Linked DNA regions of Lonchura striata. The main gene of each other region encodes a partner of the protein of the gene in region 2 in a complex. Links are inferred from orthologs where the notes say so. Each region holds a gene or a part of one and is shown on either strand. Other genes may lie near its edges. The genes, in order: RGS9BP and RGS9.

Region 1 (15,900 bases), on a different chromosome or scaffold from region 2:
AGCTGCAATCCAAGTCCAAGCTGTGGGCTCCTTCTTCAGCCAGTGCAGAGGGAAGAGAAGAGGTAGCACAAGCCCTGTGGCAGGTCTGCTGCAGGAGCACAGGTATCTCTGCTGATCCACGCAACAGCGGGGCTGAGACACACCTCCACGGGCAGGACTAGTTAGCTGCAGAAAACCCTGCCTGAACACCTGGCTAGGCCACAATTCCAAGTAAGTCATAATGACAGCAGCTTGCAGTCCAAACATGATTCAGTGACAAATTAGTATATATAACTAAAAACAATTTAGTGTAAGTCAAGCACCAAGCAGGGCTGTAAGAACATATACATGTAACCTGCAAAATAATTTGCCACAGCAAGACTTGAGAGTCCTACATGTTTTGTTTTGTTTTTTTTTTATGGCTTTGGATGTTCCTGTCCTCATCACAGCAGATAAACTGACTGGAGCAGAGACTGAAGTAAGAAAGGAAAAGGAGCCCTGTAAGCAGAATCCAATCCATGGAAGGCAGTGATGTTTATAACCAAGAAACTGCATGAAGCAGGCAATGATTTTTTTTTTCCCCACAGGTGGATCAAGCTTTCAGTCAAGGGCATTTTTTCCCACATCTAAGAAGTAGGCCTTAACTGAAGAAAACAGGCTCAGGTTACAGGTCAGGAACACTTTCCAAAAGGAACAGGAAGCACATGGTTTAGATTGCTTGGCACAGCTATCAAATCTCTCATGTTGTAAATCTCCAAGAACGTGTCAGACAAACCTCCACTAGAAGTGACAGTGGACATAGCAAAGCTGGGAGGGTGGATGACATGGTCTTTTGAGACACTTTCCAGATCAAGATTTCATTAATGCAGTTGTCCCACTGAGGCAGTTTCATCTGCCTTGAGTTTGGTGAATTCATGTATCTGTCCAAGCAGCAGAGGATCTGACTGCTGAGATCTTCCCCAAGACAGCGATGGAGAAGCTGTTAACACACCACACACTGTCAGGGTGAAAAAGCACATTGACACAAGGAGGCAACCAAGCATCAGACTGTAGTGCTAAAACTGCAGAGCACAAATGTCTCCAACAGCTTTATTGCCAGTCTTTCAGCTTAATGAATCTTCAAGTCCAAAAACTTCTTTCCATAACAGGAGGGGAAGATAACACATATCATAAATCCTCCTCATAAAAAAAAAAAAACAAAAAAAAAAAAAAACAAAAAAAAAAAAACCACAACCAACTGAAATTTAAAGTAACACTTCATTCCCTGGCATAAAAGGTATAAAAAATTTATCTGAGGAGGAGGGAGGAGAAGCTCCCACAGAAAGCTTGCTGTCTGTCTGACAGACCTCTTAAAATACTATCTGCACCTGAAAAAACAGTATGAGCAATTGGAGTATTTTAAGAATCATTACTGATGGACCATCATAGGGAGCACTTGAAAGTATAATCTTCAGTGTCCAGTTCATGAGTTACACACCACAAGTAACTATGTGCAGCCACACATTCTTAGCTGCAGCTACTGATTCTTTCACTGCAAAACTGATAGGGCTGAATCACAGTGGGAACGCCAGCAAGGAGTGAAAATAAACTGCATTCAGACATTGAATCCTGGTATTTCAGTTACTGTAATGCACCTAAGGTGCCACAGAGGTGCTCCACCCCAGGAAGGAAGGTAAATTTCTAGTTCACACGGGTGTTTGTCACCCTCCCTGAGCACAGCAGATGGGAGCTCTGCATGGCTCCCCAAATGCATGTTCCTGCACAGCAGGAAACAACCCCCACTGGCCACACTGGTACTGTTTTGAGAATCACAACTCTCAATTTCCTTCCCTTTCCCTCTCCCTTACCCCTGCAGCTGTTCAGTGTCTCGTTAGGCATTAGGTATCACATCTGATTAAAAGGAAGACATGAGAAACAACAGGTGGAATACTTATTACCTAAAACAGTTTAGCTACTGCATTCACTTAGCTCTCCATCACTTTCCCATAGCATTCTCCAGAGCACTAGAAGTGTGGATGTAGAAGCAATTTAAGTTATCAAAAAAAAAAACAAACCAAAGGAATTTAGTCTACAGATTCTAGAGAAGACATTAAAGCTTCCCCAAAGCTCAGGCATTTTTGAGATTAAGTCAATTTCTTTCCACCCCAGAAGTTAAATGCATCTGAAAATATTGGCTAATACATTGCTATAATTCTAGGGACACATTAGAATTCTCCATTAAGAGTCTGTTGGCAGAACACAACATCCAGCTTCAACCTAATTTAACTTGGGGGTGACACAGACTTGTTCTTCTAGCTGCACCTTGGACAGCTTTAGCTTGTAAAGCTTTAGCTTTACAGTGAAAACAGAAAATGCACAAAGCCTTATATACATTACCACAACTGATTAATGCCTAACAGAATGCTCATTAAAAACTATCATCAGCTATATTCACTATGAAGTTTACCAAATTCTATCATGCTTAGCAGTAAAGCAATTCTCAAGCACTAATGTTATGTAAAAGGTTTAAACATAATCACTTCAGTGTATGGCTTCATGCCTGTAAACACAAAAATAGCTCAAATTGCTGGAAGAACAGAAGCTAGCTGGATCAGACAATCTAATAAGCATTATGTTACAGTTTAAAAAAAAACAAAAAACTATATTCATAATCTTACAACAGACTAATCCTGTCTATATCAAAAGCAGAGTGATAATTCTAACAATATAACTATGGTACAAAGGACAGCTCAAGTGAAAAACATGGAACCTAAGCATGTCACTGTTTTCTGTAAGACACTGGAAACAAGGCCTAATTACAATTGGTAGTGAAAACAGTGAATAGGAATAAATCCTGACAGTTCATTTTCTCATTGATGGCATTTTCCTTTAGAGATGGACAAATGAGGAACCTTTTCCACAGCTTGCAGGTTTCAGTTCCTTTTAGGAAATACTTTGAAATTTGGACAAACAGCCATGAAAGTGCATGATGACATTGCATTTGCATTGTTACTTAGCAGTTACCTCCTGTCCACATTCAACTTGTACAACTACTTACTCAAACCTTAGCCTCATCATCTTCTGAACATCCTGCTACATCTCTACTAAAGACTAATCAAAACATTCTGCAGAGAAAACATCTTTCAGAACATCATGAGAGATGGTGTATACAAACACTACATAGTCAATGCTGAGCAGCATAACATTCTGTGTTTTCACCATGGCATTTTAATAATAATTTAGCAGAACAAAGTAAAAACAGCTACCAAAGTCAGTAAAAATTATTAGCCAAGTTCAGTAACCTCAGTTGTCTCCAGGATGGCAAGTTAGAATGTTACACTGGGATACTAACAGCAATTACCTCAGTGTGCTCCCCACACAAATCCAGCTTCAAGGGAGCAGAATGCCAAGTTCCCCAAATCCTTCAGCACCAGATCCATTAGCGTGACAAGAAGCATAAATTCACTCAATTTTATTTTACCAATATTGTCAAGTTTCATGGGATAATATCAGCTTCACTTTAGCTCCCAATAGCTACAACAGGAACACTAAGGCTTAGTAACCTGATATTTGCTGAAGTGCTCAAAATAATAAGTGAGGAACACCTCATTACTCAACTAAAGGATTTTTATCTCAGAGTACCAGATAAATACACATACAAACTTTATCAGAAATGTATCATTCTAGCAAACTGCACAGCTCCACACACAAAAAAAAAAAGTAAAAGGAAGCAATTCTAAGTTAAGGGGCTTTTTTTAATAGGTGTGCTTTCTGCACACACCTTAAGAGCACCACTTGTTAGGAGGAACAGCCAAAGGTAAGCATATCTTAGAGCTCTTTACAAGCAAACAGGAATCTAACAGTGGAATTTAAACAGACTCAGTCCAAAATCTCAAGTTACCACTCCAGTTCTTGTTTTACAGCACTATTACTCATTGGTTACTCTGCTTCTGGGCAAAAGTTACAATCTGAACTTTAGCCCTACATCAGAACTCACTTCAAAGTAAAAACAGAAGATTATTTCTTTTTCTGAGCATTTAAAAACTCTAAAGGATGAGTGTTGAGCATCCTATGAAAAACACCTGACATATTCCAGTACACCTCACTCACCATGAGGGAATAAATAAGTACATCTATTACTACCCCTTCTAGATTCAGATTCACCTTGTACTGACTTCTGTGAAATGGAAGTATGCAAGAGTAGCACCTTGAATTATCAGATTATAGAGTGGTGAGTGGTAAATTCACATCAGTCAGCTCAAGGCTTACAAGCAACCAGTAAAAAACTAAGCTTTACCATCCCAGAACATCAGCCTGACAGCAATAGAACAGAGTCTGGGGTCATGATCACTCCAGGAAGATACTAATTTCTCTCAGCATCTCCCTTCCAGGCACACATTTCTTCCAATGAAGGGTTAAGGGCTGACACAAAATCTCACGGCTTGGGTTTTGCCTCTACCCAACACCTCCCAAGCCTTTTCCAAGCCTGGCAGCTCTGGCCCTGCTACCATTGCTCCATATCCTTGGACAGGCATCCCCCAGAGCCTGCAGCAGTAGTGAGCACACAGGGCTGTACCAGATCTTTGTGCAGCTTCTTATGAGCCCCACCTCCAACTCCAGAGCTCAGCTCACTCAGGAGAAATGGTGAGAAGGTTCACCTTTTATATTTTAGCAGTGCATTTACACTATTGTTTGATGTGAGCACATCCTTACATGTCCTAGACTTGGGGGCTTGAGTCTCCCCCATCACTTGTTCCTTTCCTCCAGAGGAAGCACATTTCCATACATGTGGATCCTTCAACAGCCAAGCTTCCCACCTCTACCCAGTTACTTCAACATATTCAAACACATCTTGCTTGTCATCAGCCAAGCATCAGGAACAAACTGCATTCTCTTTTCACAACCGGGTAGACACAAGATTTCCAATTCTCACAGGTTTAGAAATCCACCAGAATGGCTTCAAAGAAGTTTCACTCCTTGGCTTGCCACTACTGAAGCTGCATTACACTCTCTGATGGGCAGCCCTGAGTTACTCCAAGCAAGCCCCCAGAAAGTGTAAGTGCTGTTCAGTGAACCATCGACAGTTACAAGGAACATTTAGAGGGAGACCATTAACAGCAAACACAAAGTTCCCACAACAGCTTCTCAACAGCATCAAACAAGGATGCTTCCTTCAAATACCAGGGAGCTGTATTTAAGGTCACCTCCCCCTCAGGCTCTCAGAGGTTTCTGCACTTTGGTACTTCACACCCCTTCTTTGGAGGGGAGCAGGGGGTTAAAATTCTTACGGAGTTGAAATACACAGAGGTTTCCTGAAGCCAAATCTTTTCATTCATTTAGGCAGCAGCGCAAGGGTAAGAAGGCTGGAAAACAATTCAGCAGGTAAGCTCTAAGGCAAAATAAATTATTTTAACTACTACTGGTGTTACAATTACCACCCAATGCAACATGTAACAGCCAAAACTAATTAAGAGCTTTCTGGAAGTAAACATCATGATACAGAAATATCAGTCTAATATTCCCCTACAATATAAATTTAGATTCTTCCTATGGATTAAATGCTCTCACCACTACATACAAGCAAAAACCAAATCACAGAAGTCAAAGAATTCACAATTTATCAGTGATCAGGGAGAGGGAAGGAGTTGATGTCACATTTCAGTTTCACTGTATTTCATCCTTACTTCTTCATCTCTTAGTGGCTTCAAACTTTGCCAAGCCATAGCAGTGTACAGACCAAACTTAGTACATGAGCTTACTCTAAAAGCAAGTCCCTCAGACAAGGCTTACCAATTATTAAAGCAAAACAAAACTGCATTTGCCTATATGCTACTTTAAAGTATTAAAATGAGGCTATAACATTTAATTAGTGATGTTCAAGATACATCATAGAATACTTTGCAAACACTGTTAAGAGTACTGCACAGGAAGAATACAATCGTTAACATCTACTGCAAGAAAGTCTTGCCACAGAACCAGGAAATATATTTTTTCTACTACTCTTTATGCTGCTTCCTAAGTCAGTTCTAAGGATTTTTACCTCCATCCTAATAGTTTTCCCAGGACAGTATTTTGGCTAGACAGCATCTTGTTTGAAAGCAGTATCAAGATATGAATTTTCACAACATCGTACCTGACTGACAAACAACTGAATTTTAAGAGTTCCCATAATCTAAGCAAGTTGTATAACTGCATGCAGCTGAACTTAAATTAGAAGTAATCTAAATAACAGGCTCTTCCCATACGACACACCTAAAGATGTATTTAGGCATTACCTGATACAGATTATGATTGCTGCTACCTTCAGGTTTAAATAGTCACACTTCTGAATCGATCCTCCCTACCTCTCCTTCCCAGACACATTTGCAGAAGTGGTTTCTAGATTCTCGCATAACTTCAGTACTCTGTGGCAAAATTTAAAAATAGCTAAAACAGACACACAAATATGCATAATTTAGTCAGCAATAAGCTTAACACTTATGTCACATAGTACTCCAGCTTCAAACCCAGAGCTAATCCTTTTTCCACCTGACAATGATTAGGCAATTACAAGACTTCACTTACAATCAGATCAAAATCATCCTGTGTTTCTTTATTCCTACAAAGAAACAGGCATGACTGATTTGCTTCTTCTAGGCTACCAACATGCAAATTAACAGAGCTACTCATCTTAGCTGGCAGTAATTTGATAACCTACACAAAGTTAAGAGACCATTTCTTCCACAGGTAGCAAGCAGCCTGCAGCAGAAGCTGCACAGGTTTTGGAACTAGGGCCAAAAAGCAAGATAAAACATAAACAAAAAAAACCCGGTCAGTGGAGTCCAAGCTACCAAAATCTAGAAAGAGGAACATAGGCTAGACAAGACTCTTCAAGCTGGGCTCAGCAGCAGAAAGCCAGTCTGCCTGGACTCTGTTCCTCTTAGTAAATTATCTTGCTCATAACACACACTGCCCTGCAAAGGCAGTGATAAAAGATAAGAGAATGGGTCACGCTCCTCTTGTGGGACTCCTGTGGCTTCACAGCTTTTTCAGGCTACTGTAGCATCACAAAAACCACTCAGCTCCCCACAAACGCTGGGCCATGAGTGGTAGTGTATGTTGTGACAAGCAAGCTCTCCAGAAGCCCACTTCAGCAGAAACACCAGGTGCTAGAGGCAGCAGAGCTCAGGTCACCGAGCGGCACTCGCATCACCTCCATCCCGCTGGCCGCACACACGAGCACGGCCTGGTGCCCGTCGGCGCTCACGTGCTGTACCCAGCACCGTGCCGAGGGCAGCCGCTGGAGCACGGCTTCTGACAGCGTGTTTCCTGCCCTCCTGATGTGCCACGGCCTGACTGAGCCAAGTGCGGGTGCCCCGGCCCGCACGCCGGCCCTTCCTCCGGGTGACAGCAGCAGCGAGCTCCCTCCCCAGCCGGGTGCCGGCGCGTCTGAACACACGGGACAGCCGGGCCCGGGCAAGCCCGACCCGCCACGCATCGTGGCGTTCACTGGGGCGAGGAGCGGCCCGGCCGCGGTCCGCACGGCGCGACCCCGCCGAAGGCCGAGCGGGCACGGCCCCGCCGCCGCCCAGGCCGCGCCGAGCGGCCCCGGGGCACGGCACGGCGGGCCGGGAGCGCTCCCTGCTCCCGCCTCGGCGGGACGGTCCCGGCGGGAGCCGCAGGCTGCCCGGGGCGGGAGCGCCACTCACACCGACACCATCGCCCCCCTGCTCCCCGGCCGCACAGCCGCTGCCGCCCGCCGCTCCGCGCCCCAGCCAAGCCCTACCGGGGTCCAGGGCGGGCCCGGCGCGGCCGCACGAAGCCAATGGCCGGGCAGAGACGGGAGGGAGCGGCGAAGAGCCGGGAGCACCGCGGGATCGCTGCCTGCGGAGGCGGAGCCTGCGAGGGCTTATAGGGCCGGGCCGGGCGCTCCCCCCATGTGACCGCGCGGGCGCCCAGCTGGGGCGAGTCAAGTGGCGGCGGCGGGGACCGCCGGCTGCCCGCCTGCCGCTCCCCAGAGCTTTAGCCTCGGCTTTTTTGATTTCTTTTTTTTTCCTCCTCCATCCTCGGCGCTTGGCACTTTTCAAACAGCAGCGCCCCGCTGAGCGCGGCGCGGACCGAGCCGCCCCGGTGGCGCTGCAGGCGGCGGTGGTGCCGGGAGCGATGCTGCCTGCCCGCCCGGGCTCGCCGCCGCCCGCCCGGGCTCCCGGAGCCGCCTGAGCGGTGCTGGATGCGGGCGCGACCCGGAGGCAGCGCTTGCCATGTGTGCTGGTAGCGCCCGGCTGTGGCAGCGCCCGCGGCCCGGCTCCGGGTAGGTCGGGGCGGCACCGGGCAGGGCGGCTCCGGGCACGGCCCCCGCCGCCACCATGGTGAAGGAGGAGTGCAAGGCGCTGCTGGACGCGCTCAACAAGGTGACCGCCTGCTACCGGCACATGGTGCTGACCATCGGCGGCACCTCGGACTCCCAGAACCTGCGGGAGGAGCTCAAGAAAACCCGGCAGAAAGCTCAGGAGCTGGCGGTGGCCAACAGGAACAAGCTCACCACGGTCCTGAAGGACAAAACCGTGAGTAAGGAAGATAAAGCCGAGTTCGAGAGGCTATGGGTGATTTTCTCCACGTGCCTAGAGATCCTGGAGATCGATATGAGGAGGGCCCTGGAGCTGGGCCACGAGTTCCCGCTGAACGTCCCCAAAAAACACCTGATCCAGACGGGCATGAGCGGGGGAACCTCCGGCGTGGCCGCCCGCGCCATGAGCGTCCAGAACATGAAGTACGAGGCTGAGCACAACATAGACGTGGTGGATTTGAAAGACCTCGAGAACGAGATCAACCAGGTAGGAGAGATGATGTACGAGATGGAGATGAAGGTCAATGTCCCCCAGTGGACAGTAGAGGCTAAGCAAGACCCAGGGGCTGAACTGAAATCCACCATCAGTGTGGGTGCTTCCTCTATTGGCATGATCTCTGTGGAGGAAAATAAATCCTTCTGCGATATCAGCAAGGTTTTAGCTGGGATTATTTTCACTGCTGTGCTCATCATCGCTATTGTCCTGGCGGTGTGTGTGGTAAAACTGTCTTAGGGTGGTGCAAGCTCTGACACGAGCGACCCCTCTCAAGCCTGTCTCTGGAGTGTTTCATGCCTCACCTTCACTTCCAAAGTGTGTCACTTGGATGAGCTGAGAATTTTAAACGAGCACTTGAAAGAACAAAGCAGAACTTTTGCCTCTGAATATTCTAAAATGCACTATTTGTTTCTTCATGCTTTTTGAAGAAAAGAGATGCACAGAATAGAATGTCTTCGTTTACTGGACTTGTAACAGTTAAGAGAAGTATCAGGGTATTATCACTACTGGCTGTAACAGGGATTTGCCTGCTATTAATAGGTCACTATTCTCAGAAGCCTGTGGTTTTTGTTCTTCACTAGCTCTGGTGTTTGCTGCTGGTCACTGTTTACAGTATTGGAGGGTAACATAAATGTGATGGCTAACATGGGTGTTTTGTCTGACCAAATGAATAGAATACTTCTTTTTTTCCATCAAATACAAAATATATTTCTTGAGCAGAGGAAAGGGGTAAGGATGAAAACCCCAATTAAAGAATGTAACCAGCCTCTATTTTAAATAAGTTATGGTTGGGGAGGGGGCAGAAAATGGAACAACGTTTGATACCAAGTACTGTTTGTTAATTTAAACTGGATTGTACAGAACCCAGTTGCATGAATTGGCACAGTGTATGTAAATGACTAATCGCTTTCCAAATCCAAAGAGCAAAAAGGAAAAGTTGCATATTTAGAAAAATACTAGGAAGCCTCATGGTTTTCATTCACGTTTACCACGATGTTATCTTTCCCTGCCTCTGAAGCAGCAATTTGTACTCCGTGATAAACGATGAAAACAGCAGCAATCAATCTACCCACAGCAGATGCAGTAACATGGGAAAATAGATTTTAGCAAAGAGAAATGATGTTAAGTTAAAGCAGACTTTCCCAATGGGATCCCCTCTCCTGTTGACAGGCAGGGACTGATGCTTGTATATGTACAGCCACATTTCTGCAAGCTCCCAAATGGCAGAAATTCAGACAAAGCTAAAAATGTGTCTCAGTTTCATATCTCAGTCATGTCTGATTAATCATCTGGGAAACAGGAAGCCTTTAGGATTGGTCCCATTTGATAACGCTACAAATCTAGAAGGGAAATGCAACAGCATAAAACTTTCAAGTGCTTCCCTGTGGAATTGTCAACATTTAAATATAAAACTGTGGGAACAGACACTTACTTAGCAGAGAAGCTTTACAATGTTTTGTAAAAAGTATTTATGTGTTATAGTATTTATTATTTACTTCTGGAAATACCTTTTAGTGCTGTGAACACACACTGTCCTTTCAGGAATGCTTGGTACATGTGCTACAGTGCCATAGGTGTATGGGGCACTCCACAGCCAAATATAAAGACCCCAAAATGCTGGGAGTTTAAGAAATAATTTTTCTTCATTGATTATTACGGGAACATTATCCAAAGTAATAATCAGACATTTTTTGTGGACAGTCTTCATGCTTGTTAAATAAAATTGACAACATGCATAAACACCTAATATTTTTTAGTATTTTTGAGTTAAGAACTAAACATACTTCAAAAAACTGCAGCAAACAGTTTATTCTTTAAAACTTAACTGGATTTATTGGGAGGGGAAATGTATTTGAATATGGTCACTTGTAGGTGAGGAAAAAAAAATAGTAAGCAGAGGCCTGAATTCAAAGCTATAGATTATCCTTACATTGAAGGATAATGTGAGCTCTGCACATTGGTCCAGTCTAACTCCATTCTCTCAGGAATTCAGAGTGTTTCAAGACAACTCCACATTCCTTTCTGTTGTATTTCACTCATTCCATAGAGTATGTTTTTCATGCAGTTAATCTGTGTCTGTAGAGATCCCTGACAGCTGTCTAACAAAGCCTGGTCTGTATTTATCGGTGCTACAGTTCCAGCCTGCCTAGACAAGGTGTAATTGCTGAGTGTTCATTTAAATTCGATGATCCGCTTCACAATCACAATAAGTAAACATATTTAAGGAAAATACAGTAAAAGCTGCAGAAGACTGTACCTATTTGGATTGCCACCTGTTGTCATTAAGGACCTGTGAATGTTTTCACTTTTTGCATGCTCAGTTCACAGGAGGGTAGAGAAGCCATTGGGCTTTATTCTGTCCTTCCTGAAAACTCCATATACCTTGTGAAATCAGACCATTTAACCACATGTTCTCAAACCCCCAAGTCATGAATGCAAGTCTGTTTTCTGGTGGATACGTAAATGGTAACAATGACCACATTCATTATCTTTTATCTTGGTATCTTCCACATACCTAACCATAGATAAATAGTTTATCCATGCTTAGTGTAGAAGAATTTTTAAGAATAGGTCATCTTTGAAAGCAAGCCTCAGTGGGTTGGTAAATTGTAACTTTTCAGTCCAATACAGTTTTGGGTTTTTATTTGGATTTTTTAATAAATTCAAAGAATTCATATAAATAGCTTCTAAGTATGTAAGTCTTGCTTTATTATGAATATGCACACAATTACTATTTAAAGGATTTGCCTTGGGAAAAGAATTTTCAAATCTTAAGACAAAGCTGGCTGCAAATTCATTCATCATTAGTATGTTCCTAAAAATCTGTATCACCTAATATTTAGGCTATCTAAAATTAATAGATTAAGCAGAATTCTAACAGAGGATTGGCACTGTCTACATGGATAAAGTGCTGCCATTCGTCTCCTACACGTGTTTATTCCATGTGACAGAGTTTGGCACAACACTGCACAAAACCAAAACTAAATGAAACCACCATTGCCCAAAAGTACAGAGGCTTCCTTTAAATTAAGAAATAGAGATACACATTTGTAGTCTTCATTTTTTCCCCCTACTGGAATGCAACTGGAAGGAGACTGGAAGTGCTGCTTTGTAAGTGAAAAATGGGAATTCATACTTCAAAATACTCTGTATTGAAACAGCATGATGAAAAAGCACATACTCTCATGTTGATTGGTGAGAATGTAATTATAGTACAAAAGAAGATGGTCATTGCTTAATTAATATCAGTGTTGATCTACTTCAGCTCTTTTGTCTTTAGTCACAGAATACACATATTAAATTTGCTGTATACTAAAATCTTACTCCTGACTTGAATTACACTGGTTTTGCCTGTGCATGGGTTGTATTTTCTACACTTTGAATAATGCAAACCTGTTACTGTCACTATTTATTTAACTTAAAATAAAGTACTTCCTTATAACTTACTGGTTTGCTTGCAGCAGTAATTTAAACCAAACAAAATCTGCCAGAGCAAGTCCAGAGGAGGCCACAAAGTTGATCAGAGGGATAAAGCACCTCTGCTGCGAGGAAAGGCTGGGAGAATTGGGATTGTTCAGCCTGGAAAAGACAAACTTTGGGGTGACCTAGTTGTGCCCTTCCAGTGCCTGAAGGGAGCCTGCCAGAAAGATGAAGAGAGCCTGTTCACAAGGGATGGAGCCACAAAGGGAAATGGCTTCACACTGACACAGCTGGTTCTGATGAGATACTGGAAGAAATTGTTCCCTGTTAGGATGGTGAGGCCCTGGCACAAGTTGCCCAGAGCAGCTGTGGCTGCCCCATCCCTGGAAATGTTCCAAGGCTAGGTTGGACAGGGCTTGGTACAATCTGGTCTGGTGGAAGGTGTCCCTGCCCATGGCAGGGATTGAAACCAGATGATCTTTAAGGTCTCTTCCAACTCGAACCATTCTATGACTCTTTGAAAAGCTAGAGTATTAATATGGCTTATCTGTAGTAGGCTCTTCTAAGCTAAAGTTCCTGTTTCAAACACAGTAATAAAAGTAATGTGCTAAGCTCTCTTATTTTGTTAGCATTGTTAAACACAGCCCTCTCAAACTCCCAAAATTGAATAGTGATGTAGCATACACTGCCAGGGAAGCCACAGTCTGAAAAGCCAGGAAATATCTGCCTTGGGAAACAGCTACAAACAGGTGATTCTGCCTTCAGCACTGGTGGCAAGTACAGAACCATTGGTTTGGACAACCTGAAAACCAGACTAGACTGGACTAACAATTGGATTCTCCTTGTGTTAGGATCCAAACTCTGCCTCTTTCAGCCAGCAAAGCTGGCATTTACTTTAGTAAAAGATTTACACAATCTAAGGAGTGTGAAACTTAGTCCTGTGGTATTGGTAGCAACAATGATCAACAGTTGTATCAAACCACCAGAACTGAGTCTGTTAAACACAGCAATATGTAATTTCATTCCAGGATTTCCAGCCTATCACCATAAAAACCCATTACACATTTATAGTTTAGGAACACAGGATCGTAATTAATGTGATTCTTCTGGTGTTGCAAACAATGTAACATGAAACTTTAGCACTATAAATATAAAATAAAATTAGTTTCAAAATTCTTCATGTAAGTATGAAAATATTTTTACAGTAATGCAATTATTTAAAACTGGACCAAATAACTGATGTAATTAGCTTTCAGATTAAAAATTAAACATGTGCTTATTGTTCATAGAGAGGATTGGTTACAGGCTTGTTTTTCCTTCTCTGGAAGGTTTGTGTTGTTTGTTTGCTTTCCACAAATACCTTCTATTTAAGTGCTAATGGAATTCCTAGTCAACATATTTACCCTTCACAGATTTTCATTATGTAAAAAGTCATTCAGTAAGACCAGTGGATTACAGATCTCTAAGTGCTTTCTCTCAATACGATTATGTAAGTCTTTTAATGCAGGAAGAGATCTGGACAAAATAGTTCACACGTGAGCAGCATTTGCTACAGTAAGTGTACAATAAAAGTGGGATTAGAAAATAATGTCTTTCATATAAAATTATCCACTTGTTTCAAAAAAAGGAAAGGAGATGGATGTATGTAGAAAATACCAAAGTTTGCTTTTTGTTATATGCAACAGCATCCCAATGCTAAACAACAGCTTCTCTATAAAAGAAGAGAATATCTTACACCCAATGGGACAGAGGATATAAAATATTCCTGAGGGGAACTGACTCTATTCTCTTATTACCTCTTACAGAGTAACAATAAAAATAGTTTGATTTGCTGCATGTTGTTATCCATTTTACAGAAGACAATCCTTGTCTCCCTCGGTTGCACACTACAAGTGACTTTCTCCTGGAAGAAGGCAGTCCCACGTGGCTGGATCCCATCACCCATCCTCACAGCTGGCTGCTGTGGTACTGGGTGCAGCTGGGATGTAGCTTTAGCAGCTGCCACTGCAGAACCTGTGCAAAGGTGAAAAGTCACAGGGCACTGAACCAGCACCAGGGCTCTGGTAGATCCTCTCAGCCAGGCAAGCACGAGTGTTCCATTGCTGGAAGCAATGTGACTGCAAACACAAATCCACAACCCCTCTGAAACTGCCACCCACACAGGCCACTTTCCAAATGCAATGATGTTCATTGCTCACTTCCAGTCATTTGTGAGACTATTTACTGTGATTTACCAGAGTGACAGAAACTGACTTCTCAGCCCTCCACAGGTGGGTTTTTGTTTTGTTCTTTCCTTGAATTGTATGTTTTATTTACACTGTATTGCATGACATTATTTATCATCTACTTAAATCTCCACCAAATTAAACAAATCCTCTGAAAGCTAGGTGTAATTCAGCTGCACAGAAATGGATTGAACAGCTGTGGTATAAATGTGGTCTGTTATCTTGATCATTTCCACTGTGTGTGAAATTGTCACTGGAGTCACTTGACCAGTCAAGTATGTCTCTCACATACAAATGTTGAAATAACACACACAGTTGAACTCACAGATGTGCCACAGCACTGAAAAAACACACAGCGAAAAAAAAATTACTTTAAAAATCATGGGACTTTTGAAATAATAATAAACCTTGTATCTTACAGTCATCTACAATTGTCTTGGGAAAAAAAAAATTAAATGCAATTCCTCTGTGTGATCCAGAAAAATTTATACAAAAATAGCATAAACTTTGGGGAAAAAAAAAAACCACAAGAAAGGGGAAATAAAAAAAAAAAGACAAAAGAAAATACTTAACTATTTATACCATATAAAATGACTGACGACTGCCAGAGACAGCAAACATGATACTCCCTTAGCAACTTAATCTAATGTGCTAATTGCAGGTGTAACTTAAGAGATACACATTTGAATTCTGAGTCCTGGAAGGTGTGCTCCAAATGATTCCTCAAACAAGACACCAGCGCTCAGTCTGGCAAGAAAATACATGTGTGAAAACTAGTCACATAACTAAAAGGTGCAGAATTAGAATAATTTCCACTTCCATAAGACTGTAATCCATTTTGTGTCAGTTGGAAGTAGAACAGTTCCAGTTGTTAATACTATCCGTAACCTAGTTTTCTCATCTGCCTAATTTGTTGGAATATCATTTTGTATGAAGTTAACTGTTTTGTGGTTTTTATTTTTCTTTTTAGTCAATCTATATAATGGTGTTATCATAAACCTGCATTTCCTAGATGTAACATTTATTCACAATTTGGAAATGATACTTGAAAACATATACAGTGAATAATCTATTTACTTTTCATATGAATTATTAAGTCTGCCTATTTGTTGCTATTATACGAGCTAAACAATCTAAAAGCTTTAGCATGTCATTTCGAAGTGACCTGGAGATATTTGACATACCATTTGAAATAGCTGGAGGCAATTAAAAGATGTGTAGATGGGGCACGTGGGGACATGGTTTAGTTGTGGACTTGGCAGTGCTGGGCTCGTGGTTGGACTCAATGATCTTGGGGTTTTTTTCCAACCTAAATAACTCTGAGATTCTACAATACTGTACAATAAGCCAGATCAAGAAGCAGTAGGCAAACCTAGTGAAATCTCTGCATTTTTTGATACTTGCAGTTGTCACAAATTATTATTGTAGACATTGCATCTGCATGGGGACAAAGATGCATCTAAGTTAAACCAAGA
Region 2 (15,703 bases):
ACTGAATTTAACTAGTTAGCTTCCTGCACAGGCAGAGCCAGACTCTCCCAGTGGATCTGTGTCCCCTGCTCCAATATCTTCTCCACAAGCTCATCAAAATCAATCAATCTCTTTTCCAACACCCAAAAGCCAAATTGTGCAGCGCTAAAAATATCAATTTAGAGAGGGATGAGCAGCACATAGAGGGAGTGGAAGTCACTTGCCTCTCAGAGGTGACTGGACTAGAATTTATGACTTGTGCAAGAGGGAACTTAGAACAATTCTAGTTAAGGAAGCAGAGTAAAGCAGACAGAACACAATGAGGGTGATGTCAAGACATTAGACACCCGTGGACTTTTAGGAAGTGGGATTTTACGTTGGGCAGACATCCAGAGAAGTTCTCCTTCCCCTGCACTTCATCTGTGTGAGATGTCATCCTCAGCACAGGGAGTCTCCTCTTTGTGCTGCCTTAGCTATTCCCTGACAGCTCTGGAGGCAAGGCTCTGGGAAAGCCTCCACCCAGCTCAGCTGCATAATAGCTGTGGGAGCCAGGATGTGGTTTGCACTGCAGTGCATGGAGGGTGCTGTGACAGCAGGCTTCAGATGTGTCCAAGTTCTCCTGACCCTTCCACTGACGGGCTCTTCCCATGGGCAAGTGACTTCAGTGCCTCTGCAGCCTCATTTTATACAAAAGATTTGGGGCAAACAACGCACTGGGCCAACCAGGCTTTGCAAACACAGTTGGGGAAATTCTCTCGACTTGCCTGGAGCAAACTCACTGGTTTCAGTGGGAGTTTTTGTTCTGAATTTCAGAGTGCTGAAGGAAGATGGAAGCAGGAGGAGGAAACTTGGGTATGGAGTATGTGTGAATATTTATAGCAGAGGATTCCTCACAAGAGCTTTTGTGGAGGTTTGGAGAACAGGGAAGCAGAGGCACTGATAGTGCCTGGTGAAAGGAGTAGCAGGCACAAGGAGGCTGTGATAAGAGCTGCCTGTAACACTGCACATGACACAGCACAGCTCCTGTCTGCTGCTCCTCCAGCCTCCTTGAGGGAGGCAAAGCTGTCATTTACAGGCACAGAAGTGGGTTGAATATTTTATTCTTTTCCCGCCTACTCAAGAAAAATTATTACTAGCAGTAAACATTAAAAGGAAGACTAATTGTTAATTGCTCATTTCTGAAGTACCATCTTTCAGTCTGCCTCCAGGCTGCTTGTTTTAATTGGATTTTAATATTTATCTTTATTTGTGATCCAGCCTCACTGGGAGCACGAGAGGTCTGGAGGCTGCAGCATGTCCTCACCTCTGTGCTAAGAGAAGGCAAGGTCACTTGAGTTAACCCCCATGAGACAGCTGAAAGTGCCTGGGGATCAACCTTCGTGTCTGGCTCGAAGAGTAGGAATGAAATGAGAGTGAGAATGAGATCAAGGGAGCAGGTACATCTCAAATGATGTACAGCTGGTATTTATTGGGAACAAAGCTCCAGCACGTAGCCAGGCACTGGCAGCCCTGGCCAGGGGCCCACACACAGATTTTCTCTGCTGAACTGGGCCCAGTCCCTTCCCCCAGGGAAGCTCTTACCTGTCACAGCGTGGGGGATGCTGGTGATCGTCACTGTCTGTGTTTGTGTCTTGATTCCTGTGTCTGGGTTCTGCATCTCCATCATGAGAGCTTCAATCTGCAAAGCAGGGGATGGGATGGGCTGGGTGTCAGGAGCGGGCAGCAGGGGAGCCAGCACTCCAGGGGTGGGCACTGGTGTGCCACAGCCATGCATGCAGTGGCCACAGCCCCCTCTGAACCTCCCCTGGCACCAGAGGTGCCACCTGCAGCCCATGGCAGCTCACACTGCCACTGGACACACACCCAGCCAGGACTGGCACAGGAGGGACAGGATGGAACCACTCCATGAGAGCTAAGGAAAAAGAAATAAATAAAATCTCTGCTACCCAGACCCCACTACACCGAGAAAGGTTCTTCTCTGGCTCACTGGGCACTTAGAACGAAAAGTGGGGAGGGAATAAAATCTGTGCTTCTGTTAGGAGGTGCAAAGGAGGTGTTGACCATTCCTGTGCAGGGCTGCACTCCCCCAGCCAGGTCTCAGCCCCTCCAGGGATGGGGAAGGCACATCTTCCTCTCTGGCAGCATCTCCCCCCTGGGATTCCTCAGGGATCCTCCTGACTTATTTTTAACAGAGAATGAGTCTCACACTTGGGGTCAGACAACTTTTATTTCTCATTCCCAATTATCCTTATTTCTTTTTAAAAGATAAATATTTTCCAAGGTATTTTCCTCCTCTTTGACTTCCTACCAGCACCATTCCCAAAACACAAAGCACTGCTTTCACTTGGGATCTGTGCTCAGATGGATGGAGCTGGGGCACACTCCTCTTGTCCTCAATTTTGATTATCTGAGTGCCATGGGAGCTTTGGGGAAGATGTTCTTCTTTTTGTCTTCTGCTTCCAGGGATATTAAATCAAAACTGGTCCAACAGGACCAATTTGGTCTCTCCACACATTTGGTTTGGGTGAGGCTGTAGCTTTTTAACTGAGAGTGGAGGATTTAACGAGTGTGAGTTGATGACACACACACATAATGGAGGGTATTGTCTTCCCAGGCACCACAGTGACTTTGGTCCCAAGTCTTGCCAAGTTCTGTGAGGATTTAAGCTGTAGTGACAGGATACACTGTGGGCTTGTCAGTAAAACTGGATTTTCAACTGCTTTTAAAAGCACTGACAAATTAATGCTAAATGGAGAAGCCTGGTAAAATTTAACATAAATATTTGTATAAATACTTATGAAATATTTTTAAAATATAAAAAACCAGACCAGAAGTGATGGAATATGAAGGCGTTTTTTAGGTCTTTTAACAGAATTCACAATTTCTGTCAGAATCTGAGGTATTGATGATTCTGAGATTGCAGAAAGTCTCTGTCTGTCAGCCCCCTGCCAAAGCAGAAGCCAGAATTGGTCTGTGCTGGTTTCCAGGTTGTTTATTCTGTTGATCTCTCACATGTTCTGCTGCCCTGCCCAGCTCTGTCCTGCAGGGCAGCGTGTGGGGCTCTGCCCTCAGTGGGATGTGACAAACATTAAATACCAGAAACTCCCTGGGCTGCATTGACAAGAACGTGCCAATATCTGTCACCTACGTTGGACAGTGTGTCCCCAGCCTGAACCAACAGAAAAATGCCAACACCACAGTGAGACATGGAGGGCATGAAGAAGGAGAAAAAGGACAAGGCACACCCAATTTCCTCCATCTTGTCCCCTTTAGACCCCTAATACAGAATCCTAAAATTTTACTTTTGCACCCGTGCCACACTTAATTATTACTTCTATCAAACCCTCAGAGCTGGTAATTCACCCTGTAAGATTGAAAACTCTTTTCCATGGACAGAGATCACAGCCAGTGTCTCTGGGGGCTCTGTCCAGGGGGTTCCTGACCCTGCCAGGGTCCCAGGGCAGCCAGAGGGAAGCTCTGGGTTCCCACAGTTTCAGCCTCAGAAGAAAGTTCAGCTGTGTGGGATGAGGTAGGATGGTCCAGCAGGCAGGGCACTCTTTAGGAAACTGGGGTTCTAAGCAAACCCAGGTACCTTGGGAAGTCACTCCCTGTGACTGCACAGTCCCTTCACAGAGAGCAGAGATCCTGGGGGCAAACACAGCCCTGCTCACCCCCCTGTCCCTGTGCAGTGACCACCTGGCAGATCCCAGCAGGATCTGTGCTCCAGGCAGGCAGCACAGCACATCCTGCTGCAGCACGCAGCTGCTGCTCTCCAGGTGGGCTCAAGAGACACATCTTCAACAGCTGAGAGCAGGGAACTGGCTCAGAACCCCCACAGCCCCCAGCACAGCCTGTTCCCATCTTTAACCAGCAACTCGTCAACTCTCATGGTGTTCACACTCTGCCACACTCCCTCTTGTCACTGGAGAAATGACAAATACATTAAAAAGCAAGGAGCTGCTCTTTGGGGTGCCTAGCTCTGCAAACCATCCACCTTGCTGATCAAACCTCAGCCTGTCTGTGCCTCTTCTCCCAAGGGAACAGTGGATTACAGGATCAGGAGCTGCTATCAGCACCAGGCTGCCAGAGGGAGGCCAGGAGGGCTGCTTCAGACACAGCAGGAACACTGCCTTGCTTTGCTGAGGGCTCTAGTCCATTTTGTCATGCTTTCAGCCAGGAAAGAGCTGTCTGGTTTGAATTTTGCAGAGCCAGAAGCCACTTCCTGACTGGTTGATGGGTGGAGATGCACACAGAGGTAAATATCAGGAGTGCTGAAGGAGCCAGGCTCCAGGGAGAGTTCATCTCATGCACACAGACACCACAAGGCAGGAGCCCCCTGGAGATTTCCCCTCAGATCAGCTGGAATCTCTGCCTGAACTCACCCTGAAAGCCACAGAGGAGACAACAGGAAAACTGTCTGTCCCCTCTCTGATTGTATGAAGTCACAGGGTTCAGCTCACTGAGTGCAAAGCACAACTCAAAATCCTATAAAAGGAGAAAAACCATCACTGGATTTTAGGAGCCTGTGGGAAGCCCCAGGGAGAGGAAAATGGCCACCAATTGATGGTGGCTGGCTCTGGAGAAGGAGGATTGATGTTTTCCTGTAGCATGGAGCAGTGGGGGCAGAAGTCTGCTGATGGATTGCTTGGCTGAGTTACCCTGGGTGCAGGTCCCATCCCTGTCATCCTGAGCTTTATCCTTTGGGCACCCACCAGCTCCCCAGGATCAGGGCATCCACAACGCAGAAAAAACAAACTCCACATGCTGAGACTCAGAAATGCACCAGCAAATCACTGCCAAGGTGAGAAGCTCAGCCCTTCTCAGCATCAACCCAGACAGAGGCATCTTTGCTTCAGACATAAGAAAGATCCATTTTCCCAGCAGGAATTTCCAGTTCCCAGCTGAGTGCACAGTCCTGGTGCTATAATTCAACATCTGCTGCTTTCTCCATCCTATTTGCCTGGCTTAGCCCCCCTCAGTGCCTGCTGCTGTTTGCAAGGATCAGCCCTACCTGCTCTGATTTCCAAGGTAACAATACAGTCCTTATCCTCACTCTGGCCTCTGAAGGCTCATTCAATTGTTTTCTAGGTCTACAACTACCAATCTGGCTTTGCACGTTGATGGATGATCAGAAAAAAAGAAGAAATGAAAAAAACCCATTGTTAACCAGCTAAAACTTCCTGCTTTTTCTTAATTAAAGCTGAGGGGAAGTGGCTTGTTCCCACTGAGTGATGCCTCAGCTAAAGGAAATAAATCTGTGAGTGGGGAGGGTAGGGCTATAGCTGGCTTTTCCCAGTCTGGAGGATTTTTTCCAAAGAAAGATGTGGCACTGGCATCTCCCAGCCTGGAACAAGGAAATGGAGGATGGGATGAGGCTGTGCTTGGCCTAAGGCTCAGCTTCAGCCTCAAAGATCAGGAGTCTGCTGAATTCCAGCAAAAAACACAATTCAGCTGCTCACACGCTTCTGGAAATGCCCAGGAAGATGAGGCCCGGCAGCTGCTGGAAAGTCTAAGCCTGGAGAAGCAAAGCCAGGCTGGAAAAGCCCCCAGCTATGCTGCAGACCCTGGAACAGCCCCTCCCTGGCTGCTGCACAGCTTGGGAGAAGCCACCAGGGACCAGAGTGAGGAGGAGGCAGAGGAAGAAGGCATCCATCAGCTCTACCCACAAGGTGTGAGTCACGGTGCAGCTCGTGCAGCACAGCAAGGAACAATTCCCAGCCCAGGAGCTCCTGGAGAGCACAGCCCAGCTCTGCCAGCTGATGCCCAGCACAGCCAGATCTGGCTGCTGGAGCAGGCACAGGCACCGAGAGCTTGAGTTCATTGAAACTCTGGCAGCATCCAGCCAAGATGCATTTCAGAGACTTGCTTGCTGGCCCAACAGACTTTTGGGTCATTCTTCTTCCAGCCAAGATGGTTTAGAAAGGGGAAAAAAACAGAATAAAACAACATAAGTGCTAGCATGATGAGCAGGTGCTGCAGGGCTCTGGGGGCCTCTGATCCCCTCCCAGTTCAGCCACAGAGACCAAGCTGCACGTCCAGCCCGAGCCACCCAGAGCAGCCTCACAGCAAGAACAGGGCACTGCCCCCCACCCCAACAGCAACCCCCTGGCCTTTCCCTGTGTCCCTTGGCAGGATTGCTGCTGTGGTCAGCAGCTTCCTGCTGCAGAGGCAGCACAGCTGGCAGCTGCCAGGGCCCACGGGGCCCACGGGCTGGCAGCATGGCAGGAATCCCTCCCTGCAGCTGCAGCAGCCCAGGCACAGCGCGTGTCAGCTGGCGGCAAAGCGTGAGCACAGGCTTAAGCAATTAACAAAGCTTCTTTCCAGGATTTTAGCTCCTCATGGGTTAAGCTAAGCCTGTAAGGTGCTCGCTGAGCATCCTCAGCTCCTGCCGTGGGCATCCAGTAAAGGAGCCTGGTGTTTCCAGGCAGCTCTGAGGATGTGGATGCCTGCACACTGCCATGGAACAGCTGAGGCTCCAAACACGGCTTCTCCAAGGTCTGGAAAAACAGAGCAGGAATGAAAGTGGAGATGAGAGTCAAGGGCTTTCACTGACCACCAGGAGCTTCCCTTCCTGCTGCTAAGAGGTCCCAGACTTGCAAAGCACAGGAGCTGAGCCCCCCTGGCTGCTCACAGTGTGAGTGGTGCACATTCTGTAAAGCCATTCGCTGTGTTTTGACTGATCTTCCCACCTGAGGAACTCGGAGCACTTTGCAGAGACTGCTGCACTCCCACGGAGCAGCTGAAGCACAGCTGCAGGCAGTTGTTTTCTCAAAGCACACAGCTTCTCCTCTGCACCCCCGCACACAACTCCACCGAGTATTACTCAGTACAGAATTTGGCCTGGAGTATTTCCCTTGGCAGGGCTCCCCAGCCAAATTTACCCTGCAAGACATAGCACCAAAGAAAATACCCTCTTTACTTCCTCTGGTGTAGTAAGTACTGCCAGGCTTGTATATCCCCAAATTCCCCTCCCTTTACCCCTGGAATCCTCCTTAGGTTGTGGGCATTGAGGAAAGCTAACTACAGTTCAAACAGCAACTTGCTTGTCACTGGAAATTCAGTTAATTCCATCCAACAGGATAAGCCACACTCAGGAGAGGTGGGTGGGAGAAAAGCTAGCTTAACACGCTGCTTTTTAAAATCTGCATATACCAGCTACACTACAACTGGCTATGTTTTGAATGAATGCTACAGAAAAAGCCCACCAAATGCTGCACAAAACTACGCATTACACCCAAAAGCGTGGGCATACATCATCCCACTCCTTCTACTGCTTCTGGCCACAAATATGCTCGTGTCTGAAAAACTGGAAGGAGGCAGAGAGCAGGCAGTTGGCTGCAATACACGCTCTGAATGTGGACATGAGCTGAAAGCACTGGGAACACACTGGAGCCACTGGAGCAGAGCTACACTGAGTGGCCTGGCATTGCAGATGGGCTTTTCCCTGGGAGCTGATGCGGATTTGAGGGACTTTGAAAAAAATAATGGAAGGTGTCAGGGCAACCATTCAGCTGAGATAAGCTACAAATAATAAATAACATTACAGTCCTATTTGCTCCATCACTCCAGCACAGCTGCTCCTCCAGCCTGCCCCCCGAACCAGCTGGGACCCACGGCGCTCTGCAACAGGTCATGGCTCCAAACTCCCGGCGAGGGGCTGTCACCCCTCGGACCCACACGCCCAGAGGTGCCCCGGGGAGCCGTGGCCGGGCAGGATGCTGTGAACACACATCACTCGGAGCACCGCCTGCGCTGCCCTGCGCATCGCATCGCCCCGCCCGGCCGCGGCCCCGGCGTGCCCATTAATGGTGCGGCTGTCCCCGCGCTGCGGAGCCCTCACCTTTTTCAGGAAGGCCATCCGCGGGCGGTAGCGCTGGCCCTGGTCGAGCCGTGTGACGGTCATGGTGGCGGTGCGGTGCGGTGCGGTGCGAGCAGAGCGGCCCCGCCGGGCGCACCTGGCTGCCCGCACCGACACCCGCCGGGGGCGGCGCCACCGCTGCGCGCCGCAGCCAATCAGCACCCGCCGCCCCGCGCTCATTTGCATGAAGGCGTGAGGCGGCCGCTTGGGGGCGCTCGTGGGAGAGCGCGGAGGGGCTGGGATGGAATGGCAATGGGATGGAATGGAATGGAATGGAATGGAATGGAATGGAATGGAATGGAATGGAATGGAATGGAATGGAACGGAATATGATGGGATGGGATGGGATGGGATGGGATGGGATGGGATGGGATGGGATGGGATGGGATGGAACAGAATATGATGGGATGGAATGGGATGGAATGGAATGGAATGGAATGGAATGGAATGAATGGAATGGAACGGAATATGATGGGATGGGATGGGATGGGATGGGATGGAATGGAACAGAATATGATGGAATGGAATGGAATGGAATGGAATGGAATGGAACGGAATGGAATGGAATGGAATGGAATGGAATGGAATGGAATGAATGGAATGGAACGGAATATGATGGGATGGGATGGAATGGAATGGAATGGAATGGAATGGAATGGAATGGAATGGAATGGGGTGGGACAGGACGGAATGGAATGGAATGGAATGGAATGGAATGGAATGGAATGGAATGGAGTGAAATGGAATGGGACAAAACAGAATGGGATGGGATGGAATGAAGGGCCAGGCTCTTGGCCTGGGTTTGGAGCAGGCACAGAAAGCGATGGAGGCTGACTGTCCATGAAGCACTGCCCGGGCAGCACTGCAGGGGTGATCTGTGGTCGCAGCATCCCGCTCAGCCACGGCTCCCCAGGGCGCGTAGGGCCCAAGGAATGACAGCCCCATCCCCCCAAGTTCCTGTTGCAGAGCCCTATAGACCCCAGCTGGCTCCAGGGGTCAGGCATGTGCTGAAGTGATGGAGAAAATAAAGGTATAAGATCATTCTGGAATTTATGAAGTCATGTAAAACAAGCTGAGGCCAAGGTGCTGTGGCTGAGTGCTGTGTGTGTATGAGGGCTGGGCAGTGTTTTGGGCACATGTCCCTTGAATGCCACCAGCCTTGGACAGCTCAGCTGTGAATGCAGGAGCCAGACAGGCAGTTTGAGGAGTTGGTGGCTTTTTCTCATGGGGAAATCGTGATGAAGAGTGACCAGAGGAAGACCATGTGGTTAGAGTTCTTCCTCACAGTGCAACTGCCTCATGCCATGGGGTGGCAGGGGGGGAACAGTACCTCACTGGCAGGACTGGAAACCAAGAGCTCCAGCAAGATTTTGCCTGGTTCCTCCAGAAACTGGCAGAGTTTCTTCTGCTGCCCCCAGCTCAGCTGCCAACAGCTGGACAGGAGGAGAGTCTGAGTCCTCACTCACACAGAATCTGATTGTGCCAGGGCTTGGATGATGCATTCCCAGGAATTCTTGCCAGCCAAAAGGCACAGCTCCTTGTGTGAGTACGTTCCTGCACACCCCAGAGAACAGCCACACGGGAGTGTGTGCTCACACCTGTGTGTGCCCAGAGTGCCACCTGTACACGTCCTGAGCAGGCACTCACACCTCTCTCTCCGTGGGCTGATCCCACCCAACACTGCTGGCATTCTCCCTGTGCACCCAGGGCACACAGGAGCAGATGATACAGGCACATTTATACCCCCACATTTATACCCCATCACACACCTCACATCCACATTGCCATGCCACATGGGGAGCACTCGCACTCCCCACACATGTGCAGCTGTTTCTCAGGGCAGTGCCTTCCCTAGCATGGTGTTTGTGACTGCTCTGGATTTAGGCTCTGTGGTTCTCACACTTGAGGGGAGCAGGCTGGCTCTGAGCTCGGAGCAGAGTTTTTCCATGAACAGCAATGCCCTGAAGGCACAGGCTGCTTTCCCAATTGCTTTGCTGCCCTTGTGGCAGTGTTTTATCTTTAGCTCTGTTCTTTCATAGCATGCAGATGAGCCAGTACTTTGGAAGGCCTTTCCCCTGTGTCTGCTCAACCATTCCCATGTGGAATTCCCCTGTAAGTCACAGCTGGATCAGACACTCTGCTCTACAAAGATGATGAGCAACTTCTGTCATTCCACACTGGTACCCAAGTTATCCTGCCTCATGCTTCAAGGCATCAGGTGATGGCCAAAAGGAGCAGGAGTGGAGCTCTTCATGTTTGCAGTGTCTCATAATTGAGGGTCTGAAGTGCTTTTTTGTTCTGCCAAACCAAACTCAGATCCTGGTGCCCCTCTGAAAGGCCAAGGGTGACAAACTCAGCAGCACAGATGGTCCTGGAGGCAAAAAGGAGGAGAAAGGGAGTTCAGAGGGGAGCTAGAAAGTAAGAGAAAGCACAGCAAAGGTATGCAGGCATTTTGATGATGCTAGTGAGCTAGAGTGCTTCCATCTCTTAGAGAGACAGATAGTGGCAGGAGTATCTGCAAGGAATTCTTTGGGAGATAACATCAGAGTAAGGAGCACATAAAAAGATGTGGCTCATTTTCTTGGTCTTTTAGGCAAAATAGGAAAACTTGTTACAGTCTACAATGCTTCCTCTGAACCATTTGCACTTTAAAACCAAACAACTTGGTCTGTTACACAAGTGATGGTAAAAGGACTCAGAAAAATTCCAGGTGTGGTGCTAACACTGGCCTAAGTAAAGGATCAACTACCAACAACTTCCTATGTCCCACATAATTAAAGGAATAAAACCATTTCACCTCAAAATGCTGACTTTAACAGTTTCACTGAAGAATATAGGTGTCTTAGTCATGAGAAACATTTGAAATGTGGGTCTTAAGTGAGTTCAAAAATAAAATGGTCTTGCAGGAGATCCAGGAAAAATAGCTCTGAGAAGCTCACGCTGAGTTGTGAGCTCTTCAGCCTCACTGAGCTCCAAAGAGTCTGATAATTTTAAATCCTTCCGATCCCCCAAACACCCCCTCACAGGTCAGGTGTGGCGTTTTTTCTATTTCTAGTCTTCTCTGACAAGCTATGATGAAGCTTATGGATATTCCTGTATTTTAAAGCTAGTTTGTGTAATTTCCACAACATGTCCAAGGTAAATTCAGCTTTATTAACATCTGTGAGTGACCCACAGCACCAAACACAGATGAGTTGATATTTCACCTGTGCCCAGGTGAACCGTCCCAGCAGTTAATGCTCTTGGGCAGATCTGCCACATGAAGCACGAGGCATTTAAATCAGATTATAGAGGCTTGTCTAGGGCAGACACTCCTGGGCCTCTAATCACGAAACCCACACTTGTAGAAAGCAAAGAATTCTCCAGTCCTTGATGCAGCCTGGCTGGCATATTTGTTGGTCAAGAAAACAAGGGACTTGAACAACAACAAGAGTGGTGGAGAGCACTGGCAGCAGTCATAAAGGAGATTCCCTCCAGATTTCTGACTCCCTACGTTCACCCTGGCCTTTCTGCCCCCCAGATAATGCAGAAATACATTATCTGGGGAGTGCCCTTAACCTCCTGTTTTGTATAGTAAATGCAGTGGTATTTATGTAGCTGCAAGTTTCCATGGGTGTTCTACCCCACACAGGGTAAAAGCTGCTATAGTGGAAATACCCTTGTGGTCATCACATCCCATCACATCACATCATCACATCACATCACATCACATCAATCACATCACATCAAATCACAGGGCAATGGTGAGTGTCCATGGGCTCTCCAGAGCCCACAGATCCCTGCCAGCCTCTCACACAGAGTGTGTCCAGGCTGGGAAAAGTTCTGCTGAAAGCCGGATTTTATCCCTCTGGTCTCCTTGTGCAGCCCCACAAGCTGTGATTGCTCTCAACAGACTGGCTCTCAATTCTCCAGAGTTTCTCTTGTGGAAAGCACTGCCAAGGGAATCCCCCCCTGACTTTAAAAGGTCACATTTCCTACGTGGTTGCCCCTTTTTCACACATCAGAAAGTTGAATCATCCAACACAAAAGGCATGTGGTGAGTAAGCTACCTTTCTATGTAAGGAAGCTGGGGACGCCCTGAGGGGAAGGAAGGGGTAACAGTAAGTGAAACAAGTGGCAGGTGGGGGCTTGGTTTTAGCACTTGGTTCCTTCCAGGAAGATTTCAAAGCAGTTTGCTCAAAAAAAAAAAAAAAAAAAAAAAAAAAAAAAAAAAAAAAAAAAATTGTGCAAACTGTGGCATAGAGAGAGGAGTGACTTGAGCTCAGCTCTGCCAGCAAGGCAATGGTTAAAGGAATATCCCCAGAGTCCATTGTCCTGCCTGGTGGGGCACAAGCACTCAAAATGAGAAGTTTCCTTAGCAGCCTCATGGGAAGAGCTGCTGGGGCAAACGGGCAGCATTTGTTTCCCGTCGTTCCTGGGCTTTCCAGGAAAGCTAAGGAAAGAAGTGGCAAAGAGGAAGGAAAAAAGCCAAGCAGAGCAAGACCTTATGCACCCTGCCTTAGAGATGGAGCCTGGCTGCTGGGGTGGGAGGATGCAGCTGGCTTCACAGTGACCTGGGTGGTGCGGAGCCCTCTCCAGGGAACACGGTCAGGCAGGGCAGGAACAGCCCCTCCCTGGCTGGGAGCCAGGCTGCTGTGCCAGCGCACGGAGTGGGGGTTTGGAGAGCTCCCCACGTGAAGGGGAGAGCAACGGGGAGGTCAAGGACTCCCCAGCACTCAAGTGGCTCGATTGGAGAAACTCAGGAGTCCTCTGCAGCTAGGGAGGTAAGATGAGAGTTGAGACAAATATCTTAAAACTTCATTTTAAAACTGAGACCAGAGCTCAGGAATGACTGGCTTCCACATCTGTACCAAGAGTAACAGGACGTGCTCCTTGTATTAATTTTGTACCACATCCTGTTCTCCTACAAGAAATGCCTTTTTTTTTTTTTTTTTTTTTTTTTTTCTGGTAAGCCCCTTTGAAATAATTCCCATACAGTTTTATCTCCATGTGGGACCAACCTAAGGAGAGAACACTGATGCGCTTTTCAGATTTTGAAGGTCCTTCCAGCTGAGGCCAAGTAACATTTCCTTGTTCTAAACTCACCTCACAGTTTCACATTTATCTTTCCCTTTTTCTAAGTTATTATTAATGTTGGGGGGAAAAGCAGAAAAAGATTAAGAGGAAATTTCAGCAGATATCAAAGACTAGGAGATGTAAGGAGAGACAAATGTTTAATGCAATCTTTGCACTACTGATGGTAGTTAAAGTTAATTTATTAAAACAAATTACTAAGCTGTGCTTAGGGCTGTGTTGAATGAAGTGTGGGATTTTCAGTCCGTGAGATTTTCAGTCCTTGCAGGTCCCTCAGCCTAAGATTTGTTCTACTCCTCACATGAAGGATTGCCATTGAAAATAAATCTTTGCTCCTTTTAACTCGGGATCAGCTAGAGTCCCACTCTCTTTTGCTCACTGTGCCTCGGGAGAGGTTGGACCCAGGCTGTTTGTTCAGCTCGGTGCTGCAACCCTGCAGCACTGGGAAGCTCTTCTCAGCCAGGCAGTGAGGAAGGACATGCCAATTTTTCAAATGTTTTAACAAAACAGCTCTCTTTCTGCAGCAAAAAGAAAACCTGCTTAGCTGGCAAGCACCATCCTGCCCCCCTGACTGAGGGCTGACCTCCCTGGGCCGCTTGCCCAGCAGCTTCCCTGCATCCACGGGGTCGGGTGAGCCTGGGGCTCCTTTCCATGGAACCTCAGAATCCCAGATTTGTTAAAGCTGGAAGGGACCTCCTAAGATCATCCAGCCCAACCCCACTGCCTAAGCAGAGTCATCCAGGAACACGTCCAGGTGTGTTTGGAACATCTCCTGAGAGGGAGGAGACTCCACAATCTCTCTGGGCAGCTGTTGCAAGCCTCTGCCTCCTCCGTGGAAAGTAGTTCTTCCTCATGTTGAGGTGGAACTTCTTGTGTTTTAGTTTACAGCCATTGCTCCTCATCCTGTCACAGGGTACCACTGAAGAGTCTGGGACCATCCTCTTGGCATTCCCCTTGGAGATATTTATATGTATTGATGAGATGTCCTCTCAGTCTTCTCTCCTAAACATACCCATGAGGAGCCAGGGACAAGGACAGGGACAGGGACAGGAGTGGCTGTGTCAGTTCCTGTGTCCAGTTCTGGGCCCCTCAGTTCAGGAAGAAGATTGAAGGGCTGGAGCGTGTCTGGAGAAGGGAATGGAGCTGGGAAGGGGCTGGAGAACCAAGAGCTGCTGAGGGAACTCAGGGGGCTCAGCCTGGAGAACAGAAGGTTCAGGGGGAACCTTCTCACTCTGTAACTCCCAACAGGAGGGTGCAGCCAGGTGAGGGTCAGGCTCTGCTCCAGGGAACAAGGGAACAACCTCAAGCTGCTCCAGGGGAGGATGGGGTTAGATATTATGGAAAAATTCTTCACAGAAAGGGTAATTAGACATTGGAATGGACTGCCCAGAGATGTGGTGGAGACACCCTGGAGGTGCTGAAAGACTGGATATGGCAATTGGTGCCATAGTCCAGTTGACAGAGGTGATTTGTCACAGATTGGGCTGGATGATCTCAGTGATCTTTTCTAACCTAATTGATTCTGTGTTTCTATGATTTAGTCTCTTCTGCCTGCCTGCAGTGAGAGGATGGGTGCACATGGCCTCAAGGTGGGAGATTCATTAGATTAGGAAAAAAAAAGTTATGGTTAGGGTGGTCTGGCAATTGAAAGGGCTCCCAGGAAAGTGGTAGAGTCACCATCCCTGAAAGTGCTTGAGAAACATCCAGACCTGGTGCTGAGTGATGTGTTTTTATGGATGCTGGGTGGGTGGTTGGACTGGATCTTAAAGGTCTCTTCCAAACCTTTATGACTCCATGAAGCCCACCTTAAATTTATTTTCCATTACAAAGCACATTAAAATTATGATCATGTGCATCTATAAACCTTTAAGTCCATTACACAGCAGCACCCTGTGCCTGAATGTTCTTTCACTGTGTTTCCTCGCGAGCAGCCTGGCACCTGCCAGGAGGCACAGCCTGGATCTCCTCCAGGAACGGCGCTGAAAAATCGCGATTTCAAGCTCCACTTCAAGGCGACTCGGGGGCTTTCTTGAGGAGAAGGCGGTGTTTTACAGGTGAATTGCCAGTCTGGCTACGAGGATCTCAGGGCGCTGGGAAGGGCAGTGAGGCAGCCGGCGCAGGAGCAGGCCCGCTCCTGAGGGTCCCTCCCGCCATTTCCTGTGAGGGGCCGGAGGGGGCGGGGCCGGCGCGGGGGGCGGGCCCGCGCTCGTCACGCGCCGGGCGGGAGCGTGCAGGCGGGCGCGGCGCGGCGCGCAGGCGCGGTGCGGGGCGCGCGCGGCGCGGGCGGCGGGCGGGCGCTCCCCTGGCTGGCAGCGCTCGCTAAGATGGCGGATTTCCTGCCGTCCCGCTCCGCGCTGGCCGGCTGCTTCCCCGGCTGCCTCCTCACCAGCGGCGAGGCCGAGCAGCAGCGCAAGTCCAAGGAGATCGACAAGTGCCTCAACCGCGAGAAGACCTACGTGAAGCGCCTCGTCAAGATCCTGCTGCTGGGCGCGGGCGAGAGCGGCAAGTCCACCTTCCTCAAGCAGATGCGGATCATCCACGGGCAGGACTGGGACCGCGCGGCGCGCGAGGAGTTCCGCGCCACCATCTACAGCAACGTGATCAAGGGTGGGTGAGGGCGGCGGGGACGGGCGCCCTGCGAGCGCCGGGCCCGGCCGGGCCGGGGCGGGGAGAGGCGGCTCGGGCGGGTCCGCGGCCGCCGCCGCCTGCCGCGCTGTCCCGGCGCCGCGGCCGTGCCCCGGGGCCGGCCCGCGGCGGTGTCACCGCGCCGCCCGCTGCGGCCCGCGGGGCGGC

Evidence for each region.
Region 1: RGS9 (region 2) and RGS9BP share a complex: the UniProt entries of both Homo sapiens proteins name them as parts of the RGS9-1-Gbeta5 complex. The link is inferred for Lonchura striata from reciprocal best matches to the Homo sapiens genes RGS9 and RGS9BP.

What each region holds. Positions count from the first base shown.
Region 1 is NC_134615.1:7,700,575-7,716,474, reverse strand, and holds RGS9BP (regulator of G-protein signaling 9-binding protein), read left to right. Parts: upstream 1-8,187; 5' UTR 8,188-8,303; coding exon 8,304-9,017; 3' UTR 9,018-12,222; downstream 12,223-15,900. UniProt on the Homo sapiens protein: Regulator of G protein-coupled receptor (GPCR) signaling in phototransduction. Participates in the recovery phase of visual transduction via its interaction with RGS9-1 isoform.
Region 2 is NC_134621.1:9,420,581-9,436,283, forward strand, and holds the start of RGS9 (regulator of G-protein signaling 9), read right to left. Parts: upstream 7,964-15,703; 5' UTR 7,883-7,963; coding exon 7,820-7,882; intron 1,658-7,819; coding exon 1,561-1,657; intron 1-1,560. Other genes in the region: GNA13 (guanine nucleotide-binding protein subunit alpha-13), read left to right, coding at 15,235-15,517. UniProt on the Homo sapiens protein: Inhibits signal transduction by increasing the GTPase activity of G protein alpha subunits thereby driving them into their inactive GDP-bound form. Binds to GNAT1. Involved in phototransduction; key element in the recovery phase of visual transduction.